Linked DNA regions of Oryctolagus cuniculus. The protein of the gene in region 2 interacts with the protein of the main gene of each other region in a pairwise test. Links are inferred from orthologs where the notes say so. Each region holds a gene or a part of one and is shown on either strand. Other genes may lie near its edges.

What was found.
Region 1: the proteins of EXOC1 (region 2) and TRIO interact in a two-hybrid assay, tested with the Homo sapiens proteins (2 studies listed by BioGRID and IntAct). The link is inferred for Oryctolagus cuniculus from reciprocal best matches to the Homo sapiens genes EXOC1 and TRIO.
Region 3: the proteins of EXOC1 (region 2) and KIF5A interact in a two-hybrid assay, tested with the Homo sapiens proteins (2 studies listed by BioGRID and IntAct). The link is inferred for Oryctolagus cuniculus from reciprocal best matches to the Homo sapiens genes EXOC1 and KIF5A.

The regions. Positions count from the first base shown.
Region 1 is NC_091445.1:43,638,177-43,641,727, reverse strand, and holds the end of TRIO (triple functional domain protein), read right to left. Parts: coding exon 3,497-3,551; intron 2,886-3,496; coding exon 2,343-2,885; 3' UTR 574-2,342; downstream 1-573. UniProt on the Homo sapiens protein: Guanine nucleotide exchange factor (GEF) for RHOA and RAC1 GTPases. Involved in coordinating actin remodeling, which is necessary for cell migration and growth. Plays a key role in the regulation of neurite outgrowth and lamellipodia formation.
Region 2 is NC_091439.1:108,583,049-108,585,374, forward strand, and holds part of EXOC1 (exocyst complex component 1), read right to left. Parts: intron 1,337-2,326; coding exon 1,142-1,336; intron 1-1,141.
Region 3 is NC_091442.1:60,183,364-60,187,017, reverse strand, and holds part of KIF5A (kinesin heavy chain), read right to left. Parts: coding exon 3,640-3,654; intron 2,803-3,639; coding exon 2,742-2,802; intron 2,498-2,741; coding exon 2,426-2,497; intron 2,280-2,425; coding exon 2,175-2,279; intron 1-2,174. UniProt on the Homo sapiens protein: Microtubule-dependent motor required for slow axonal transport of neurofilament proteins (NFH, NFM and NFL). Can induce formation of neurite-like membrane protrusions in non-neuronal cells in a ZFYVE27-dependent manner.

The DNA.
Region 1 (3,551 bases), on a different chromosome or scaffold from region 2:
GGAAAAGCAACTGTCAGCAGCAGGGGGCCAGCAGAGCTAAGAAGCCACACTGGTGAGAGCCCTGTAGAGGAAAACCTGAACTCCAAGTCCCCCAGGACCCAGTGAACTCTGGTGCCAGGGGCTAAGAGACAGCCACCCACAGGGGGGCTGGGTGGGGAAGAGTTTTCCATATGTACAGGATCTTTGGTTTGTTCACTATATGTTGCCTGAACCCGACTGTTTCATTTTCTTGTCTTGATCTGGACATGAACTTTGCTTTCTGAAGCCTGGAGGTAACAGGTCTTCCTTGTGCTTAGATTCTGCATTCATCAGTGGGGAGGGGACACTCAGATATTCTAACAAGGATGTGCTGTAGCCCCTCAGTCAGCTGACATTCTGGTAATTACACCAGTGTCCTGAGTTTTGTTTCTGCAAACCAGTCTGCAGGAGCCTGGCTGACTCCTATTTCTGGTCCTCAACGGCATATTCCAAATGTAGAATATTCTGAACCCTCCCACCGCAAAAGGCCTCTCCTTCAGATCTCTTGTTCTGATTCAATAGTGATCAATGTAAATAAAAGGTCTAACACAAAAATCAGGCAAATATGTTTAATTTTTTAAAATAACTGATGGCAAAATAAAATATTTACATCACATCATACTGTGTAAACATGTAAGGTCTCTGTACAAAGAAATATACATGCAAAATAATGCAAAAATTTAACTGAAATAATAAAAGAAACAATACACAAATAAAAGTTATGAGGTTACGAATACACATCCAGTTTTGAATCCAATTTCTTTTAAAAAGTTTCTGTACAATTTTACAAGAAGAAACAAACAAAAACCCAACAAAAGAATAAATAAAATACATTGGAAGCTGTGAAGCTTAACGATGCCAGTTTATGGCTCAAAAGACCCAGGTGTCTGGCTGGCTTGGGGAGCAGGCTGGCCTCCTTTTAGTGTACGTCACACAGCAAAGATAAAAAGACATCCAAAAAACTCAAGTGTGCCCAGAATTGCAGCCTCTTTTGTGGAAAGGACTCCCTGCACCAGCGTTGATTCTGCCACAGTGACTCGGGCATTGGGTACCAGCCTCAGAGGGGCCAGTGCTTAATTGGCTTTTATTTCTTACCAAAAGCTCAAAATCCAGCCAATTTTTGTACAGAAAGTTGAACGTCAAAAAGTCTAAAAAGTAGTAAATGTCCAGACTGATTTTGGGACAAAAAAATAATACTTTGGCATTCTGAATAATAGCATAATAAACTTTAAAACATTACCCTATTATCCAGTTTTATATTCAGAGTATGAAATCACTTTTTACAATCTTCAAAACTGACAATTTTCACGAGGAGTTGAGTCTCCTTGAACCGATGGCACAGGGCTGTGACCCTTCCCCCCACCCCCCACTCCCACACACACACAAAACCATAAAGCTCACTATACGAAGTATGTGCTTTTTCTATATATTTATTACAGGTACAACAGAGGTCTCCATAAATAGTTGCATAAAATGTTAAAGCCACAACATTGCACATGATATGAAATAAAACAACAACAAAAAAACCCCCAATGAGTGCATTTACAGTATTTTCATCTGACTGTATACTGCTCAACAATCTGATTGACGGCTTAGGGTGGGAACAGGGGAGGGGGCAGTGGGGCAGGACCCAACCTGATGTCTCCATTTGATGGGCAGACCCTCAGACTCTGAGGAAGAAGCCCCAGGCGGGGCTGGGGAGCAGGTGGGAAGGGCAGGTAGGGGGGGAAATGACAGACCGGAGGCAGGAACAGTCTTATATACAAGTAAGGCCTACATTTCATCAGAGCAAAACAATTCATTCTATTTTATGCAAAAGTTTGAGGTTGAATGCATGTTTCGGAGGCCAGGTCTGGCGTGTGGCGGGGTGCACGCAGACAAGGCGGCTGGGAAGGCATAGTGCCAGGTGGCCACTGGGCACTGGCCAAGGGCCACCACCTGGGCGCTGCTTCCCCAGAGATGTACAGTATCTTTGTTTTGTTCATTAATACCAGTGGTTGAACATAGGCATTGTGTTTTCTTGAATAAATCTTGAAAATGTTAAATTTGCAAAATTCTATTCATGTTCATTTAAAAAAGTTATTTTTATTTTTTATTTTTTTGCAGAAACCTGAATAAAATACTGTGATACAGCAATGCGACCTCTGCCTCCGCAGAGCGTGACTGAAGTCCTCCACCCCAGGCAGCTCACTTGGAATGCAACTTCACACGATCAACACACCGGCAGCTGGTCACCTAGGTTTGTTTTCTTTTGTTTCTCTTCGGAATTCAAATGAACAGCTGATTGGCAGGTGAAAGAGAATGAGAAAGAACTTCAAGATAGGTCAAACTCGAGGCAGAAGCCTGCTCTGTAAGAAGTTTTTAATGCTCCGAATAGGTCGAACATCATTCTGGTGTTTGCGCCGCTCGATGAAGGATGCCAGTCTCGATGTGTCGAGGACGCCTGAGCCTTTGCCACTGCCCGCCTGCAGCCACTGCTCCTGCAGGGCCAGCGCAGCCGAGGGGCGCTTGGCAGGGTCCTCCTGCAGGAGGACGCACACGAACTCCTTGGCCTTCTGGCTAACTCCTGTAAAGTAGTCATCTGGGAAACTGAAGTCCAATCGGCAAATGTTCAGGCAGGTCTCCTCCACGCTGTCATCCAGGAAGGGGGACACGCCGCTAAGAAGCACGTATGTGAGCACTCCAACACTCCATGTGTCCGAGGTCAGGGAGACAGGGTTCCCAAGGATGATTTCGGGGGCTGCGAACTCGGGGTTCCCCAGTAACTGGTGGATGTAGTAGGTCGTGTTGAGTTGGACAGCATCTCCGAAGTCAGCCAGTTTAATTGTTGGCTTGGCTAAACTCTGATCCACCAGGATGTTTTCAGGCTAGAATACAGGACAAGACAACTGTCATTTCCAAAAGAACCCCAAGCTGAAGCACAGTTGTGATGGTCGGCAGGCACCTGCGGGAGGCAGAAGGCACCTGCAGAGGCAACTACAGCAAAGTGTTCAGGTGCAAATCAGGACGAAGCCTTTGGCCCTCAAGCCCGGGGAACAGAGGAAGAAGTGTTGACAACAAAGGGACCGCTGACCCAGCTCAGTGGAAAGCAGCTAGCTAGGGCCTCAGGCGTTGTCTGGGAGGCAGGGAGTTCATCTTCCCTACCAGCTCTACACGTAGAATGTGTCCTTCCTTCCTTTCTAACTGACTGTGGAACCAGTCCTCCACTAGCCCTGCAAAATTCACGGGAACTTTCTGAAAGTTTCATGAAACGCTGGGGGATCTGAAATGTTTACCTAGTATTTTACCGGCTGTGGACATCACTACCTGCAAACTCTTAGAAATGGAGGTCGGGGGTCAGTGTGCCCATCTCCCACAGCCTATATGACCCCAGTCGCCCATCTCCTGCCCTGCCTATGGAAGATGGAGTTCCATGTCCTGCATGGCTGAACTGGGGGCATGGTTGGGCCTGCTCTCATCCAGCCACAGGCCCACCCACCTTTAGGTCCAGGTGTGCGATCCTGCAGTTGTGAAGGTATCGGATGGCTTCCAGA
Region 2 (2,326 bases):
GCCAGCTGCTTCATGTCCACATTCCTAAGTCTCATGATGACGCGGAGGGCACTATGACATCATCCTTACCTGGCAGCTGACGGAATATATTCTAGAATTTCTTCTTACAAACCTTACATCTCATTAAACCTAAGTTCCTGCCAACTTCAGAATACTCGCTGCCCCCTGACAGTGCTATGCTTTTTGCTTTTCATTATTTAGCCTGTGCTGTTTCTTCCACTTAGAAAGCCACACACTCCACCCGACTCTACCTGGGCAAGCAGACTTTCAGAGGTTCACACAAACCAACAGCCTTCACGAAGCCTCCCATGATGTTGAAATTAGGATCACTCCCACTCAACTCTGGGCCTTTCCGCATGGGTTATAAAGAATAATGCTTAATTTGGGGTTTACACCTGGCTGCACCACTCATTAGGTATGGGATCTTGGGCACATCACTCTGACCTCTCTATGCTGATCTTCTCGTCTACAAAATGCACAACAGCAGGGCCTACTGCACGAGGGAGACAGCACCTTCACTGTTCTGATGAAGATACTGAGGCCCAGAGAGGCTAATGCGCCAAACGCAGGAACTCCGAACTCCAAGCCTTCATGGGGCTAGACTGGACTGCATTTACCTCCCCCTCCCAAATCGGAAACAAAACACCAAATAGAAGAAAAGTAGTCCTTCAGCACAACAAAACAGAATTACAAAAGGAGCAGAAATACGTGCAGATGCTTATGTAGTAAAATCCACAAAGTGGCTGGCACTGCGGCTCACTAGGCTAATCCTCCGCCTTGCGGCACCGGCACACCGGGTTCTAGTCCCGGTCAGGGCGCCGGATTCTGTCCCGGTTGCCCCTCTTCCAGTCTAGCTCTCTGCTGTGGCCAGGGAGTGCAGTGGAGGATGGCCCAAGTACTTGGGCCCTGCACCCCATGGGAGACCAGGAGAAGCACCTGGCTCCTGCCTTCGGATCAGTGCGGTGCGCCGGCCGCGGCGGCCATTGGAGGGTGAACCAACGGCAAAGGAAGACCTTTCTCTCTGTCTCTCTCTCTCACTGTCCACCCTGCCTGTCAAAAAAAAAAAAAAAAAAAAAAAATCCACAGAGGGTCTCCAGGCTGGGGAGCGGGGGGAGGAGAGCAAGGGAACAAGGCAGCGTACCTGCAGTAAGTTCTCTTCCTCACACAGGTGCTTATCAACTTTCTTGTACAGGTTGTCCAGGCCCTTCTTCACCTCCTTCCCAGGGTACTCTCGGATGACTTTGCGAAGCTCCTGCTTGTTAAACGCAAGTTGGTAGCTTACTTCCTCCTCTCTTATGCCCTGTGCTACTCGGGCTTCGACGCCTTCAAAGAAGTGCTTCAAGGGAAGGAAAAGAAATTACAGCTGCAACCTGCTTTCACAAGCATTTACATAAAAAAACCTGATTACAAAATAACATATATTCACGGTATAAAAAGTGATTGTGGAAGTATAAAGAATAAAATAGCAATCCTAAGAAAAATTATCATCTGAGATTTTTTTCTAATCTTTTCATGTGTGAACACATAAATAATTTCATGTTGTATTTTTCATTTACTACTATATGTTTTTTCCTAAGTATGCATTTTCATGGCTGCATAGTACTCCAGCCAATGGTTGAACCATAATTAATTCCTCCAGTACTGGACATTTAATACCCTCCCTCTTCTTGGGAAAGTTAGGAAAATCTAGTTAGACTTTTAGAAATCTATTACAAATACAGTTGCTATGAACATCTAGGTATTTAACTGCACTGCTGATTACTTTCCAGTGTAAATTCCTAGGACTATAATCACTCAAACAAGAAGTATAACTACAAGGATTCTGGAGAGTCTCCCCACAGACAGAGTGCCTCCCCGGGAAGCCCAATCACTGATATTCCTGTCAGCAGTGTATTGCCACTTCACCATAGCATCATCAGCATCATTACAATTTAAAACTAGTGTTCTCAGAGTGAAAAAGATTTGTTGCTTTATTTCATCATTCTTTGGCAATAAATGAAGTCAACTTGCTTTCTCTTACATTTAGTAATGATTCAGGGCCCTTATCCATTTCTATGGGGGTCTGAGTACTTTTCTTACTGATTTTTAAAAACATTTATTTATTTATTCAAAAGGCAGAGCAAAGAGCAACAGAGAGAAGAGAGAGATGAGAGGAAGACAGCGGGGGTGGGGTGGGGTGGTGGGGGGCAGGGGAGAAATATCTTCCATCTGTTGGTTCACTTCCCAAATGCTCAAGCCAGCAAGGGTTATGTCAGGCCTAAACCAGAAGACTGCAACTCCACCCAGAGCTCCCAAGTGAGAGGCAGGGACCAAGTACTTGGGCCAT
Region 3 (3,654 bases), on a different chromosome or scaffold from region 2:
GTGAGCACGCATGGGGCAGTGCAAGGAGTCGCAGCGTGGAGGTGGTGATGGCACTACGAATGGGTGCCGGTCAGGTGCAGAGCAGGAGCAGAAGCCGGAATTCAGACCCCTCCTCCACCCCACTCCCCTGCCACACACACACACACACACACACACACACACACACACACACATACACACACACACAGAGTCGTTCTCACATTTCTGCTCACTACCTTCTCATTCCAAGACTTCCTGGGCTGTCCTACCCCCATCTGAATGAAGCCAGAGCGAGGGAGCAGCTGCTACCTTTGCAGCGAGCAAAGATTTCTTGCTCTTTCACAGGGCTCCCCACAAGGACTGGGAGCACCAAGACTGCAGGAGGTGCTGGGCCTTGGCAGACACAGGGGAAGCCAGCAGAGCAGTAAAGGGGCGGAGCTGGGAGCCTTTCTGTGCACCTCTCCTCTGACAATCGGCATTTGCACAGAGAGGGATGGTGAACACACAGTGGGGAGAACAGAATGGCAGAACTGATTACAAACCATTTCCTGGCTATTTTTTCAACGTTTCCGTAAAAATGTTGTTGCACTGTTTTATAAGTCAAGGAAATAAAAATAGCTGTAAAGACTTCTGCAGACACAAATCAAAATAGAGCCTGCAGGTCATCCCTGGGACACAGGTTTGGGATATTTTCATTTTTTGAAAAAAGTAGCAGTGGTGTTTAGTCTAGCAGTTAAGATGCCCTCATCCCACGTGGGAGCGCCTGGGTTCCATACCCAGCCCTGGCTTCTGACTCTCGACTCCAGCTTCCTGCTAATGCAGGCTCTGGAAGGCAAGGGCGCTGACTCGAGTAACTGGATCCCCCAACCTGTGCCAGACCCAGATTGAATTTCTGGCTACTGGCTTTGGTTTGGCCCAGCCTCAGCCACTGCAAGGCATTGGGGGAGTAAACAAGCAGATGGGAGTTCTCTCTAACTGCCTCTGCCTCTCTCTAAATAAACAAACAAAAAAAATTTTTAATGTATTAAATATTTACTGTTGGGGGCCAATGCTGTGGCGCAGTGGGTTAAAGCCCCGGCCTACAGCACCAGCATCCCATATGGGTGCCGGTTTGAGTCCCAGCTGCCCCACTTCTGATCTAGCTCCCTGCTAATGTACCTGGGAAAGCAGTGGAGGATGGCCCAAGTCCTTGGGCCCCTGCACCTACATCGGAGACCAGGAAGAAGCTCTTGGCTTCTGGATTCAGATTGGCTCAGCTCCAGCCATTGTGGCTATTTGGGGAGTGAACCAGCAGATGGAAGACCTCTTTCTCTCTCTCTGTCTCTACTTCTCTCTGTAACTCTTTCACATAAATAAAATAAATCATATATATATATATATATATATATATATATAGTCCATACCATATAGGCTAGACATTACATTGGGAGGAAGAGAAGTTGAAGTTCCCGGCTAGTGAGAATATGAGTCTGATGGAACTGTCAGGTGGATTTGCAAGGACGGAACTGAAGTGCGTGCTCGAGCTTCTTTTATGAATTCATTAGAAGAGCCACTCGCCAGGCTGTTGCGCCTGCCTTCAAGGCCCAGCTGCGTGGCAGCAGCGAGGGTGCACCTGCTCTGTACACACCAAATACTTCCTGTCCTCACTCCTTTGGACTGCCCTCTGCCTCCCCACCCCGCCCCTGTGAGCACCAGTCATGCACCTTAGAGCCACAGCAGCAAGGAGGGGCGCAGAGAGGCAGCGACCAAACACACAGAGGCTCTCACCTGCCCCAGCCAGGCGCTGCCCGGGCCGTCTCCAGGACACTGCTTAATGTCCTTGCAGGCCAGCCCAGGCCTAGGCAGCTGGAGTTCTCACCCTTCCTCTTTCTCCCTGCCTTCCCTCTGGTGTGGTGACAGAGACACCCCCACCCCCCAAGCCTTTCCGACCTCTGCCAGCCTCAACCTCTCTCTCCAAGGCAAGTCTGAGGAACTCCACTTGGAGCAGGGCTGGGTCAGGGACTCGGAGAAGGGAAAGCAGGCAGGCAGCAAAGGCCAAGGCCAAGGCCCAAAGACGGCATCCGCATCAGTAGGGCAAGTAAAAGAGAACAGGAAAACAAGCAACCAGGTGTTTCTGGACCCAGGGTCTCCAAGGATCTGGGTGTCCTAGGTGTCTGGCCTCAAAGACTGTCTTGGCCCCACCTCCGGACTCTTACCTGTTTGTGAACCTTTGTAAGCTGTTCCAGGTTGTTCTCAAGAAAGGAAATCTTCTGCTTTTGGGAGTGAATCCCCCCACTGTCCTCGGGCTCCATTTCTGCACTCTGATCAGAGACAGACAAAGATGTGGCCAAGCAGGTCCCCCAGAGAGCGGGTGCAGCCAGCCCCACCAGGGAGAGCAGGGGCTGCAGATACGTGGAGAGGGGTGGGTGTGTGTGTGCGCACGCGCGCGGCCGAGGATGGCACTCACTTTCTTGACTCGAGTCGTGACGTCTTGAACGAACAGCTTGCGAAGGTTGTGGAGGGTCTGGAGTTCACGGGCCTGGAAGGGATCATGAAACACTGGGGCTGGCCAGGTGCCACACCCACCCCCTCCCTCCAGACTTACGGGAACCTCGGCTCTACACAGTCAAGGGAGTCACTCACCCTTTCCAGGGGCAGGGGGTGGGGGGTGTCCTGATTACGCCACAGACTGGACGGGGAGAGGGGTCAGGGAGAAACAGAGGGGACGTCACGAAGCCCCGCCCCCCACACCCCATTGCTTGGCACAGAAGGAAGCCACTCACAACTGTCTCCTCCAGACCCTTGAGGTCCTGCTTGGACTGCTCGTGTCGCTCGTACAGAAATCTGCAGCAGAGGACGCAGAGAGAGCAGGACACAGAAAGCCTCACTCACCGCCCCCACCCCTTTTATCCCTGATCATTGTGTTGCACAAAGTACTCAGGGATACTGTACAAAAACTAGAAAAGGATTTTAAAAGAGCGCTAAGGGAGTGGGTATTTAGCCTGGGGTGAGGACACTTGCGTCCCACAGTGAGCCTGGGTTTGATTCCTGAATCCAGCTCCTGGTTCCAGCTTCCCACTTAGGCAGACCTTAGGAAGCAGCAGTGATGGCTCGGGCTACTGGGTCCCGAGCCACCCACATGGGAGACCCGGATTGAGCTCCTGGCTTCTAGCTTTGGCCAGCCCAGCAGCAGCTGGGGAGCAAATCAGCATATGGAAGCAAACTCTCTCTCACTTTCTGCTTCTCAAGAAAATAAAAAAAAAAAAATGAGAAAAAGAACATCCCTCTTTAAAAAAAAAAAGAGAGAGAGAGATGGGGCTGGTGTCATGGTGTAGTGGGTTAAGCAGCCGCCTGTGACACCAGCATCCCGTATGAGCACCGGTTCAAGTCCCAGTTGCTTCACTTCCAATCCATCTCCCTGCTAATGTGCCTGGGAAAGAAGTGGAAGATGAAGCAAGTCCTTGGGGCCCTGCACCCACGTGCAGGTTTTTATGGGGTCATACCAGACTGCTCTTACACCAGCTTTTCACAGTTAACAGAACCCACAGGCCTCTTCCGGCTACTACTCAGGTCGCTTCTGAGTCTCCTTGGCCCCTCCCTGACCTGTGGGTGGCCATGTGTGCCAGGTGCCCAGGCGTCCCGCCTCTGTGGGCCCGCTGGGCGCGGGTGAGCATCACTCACGTCAGCTCCTGCAGC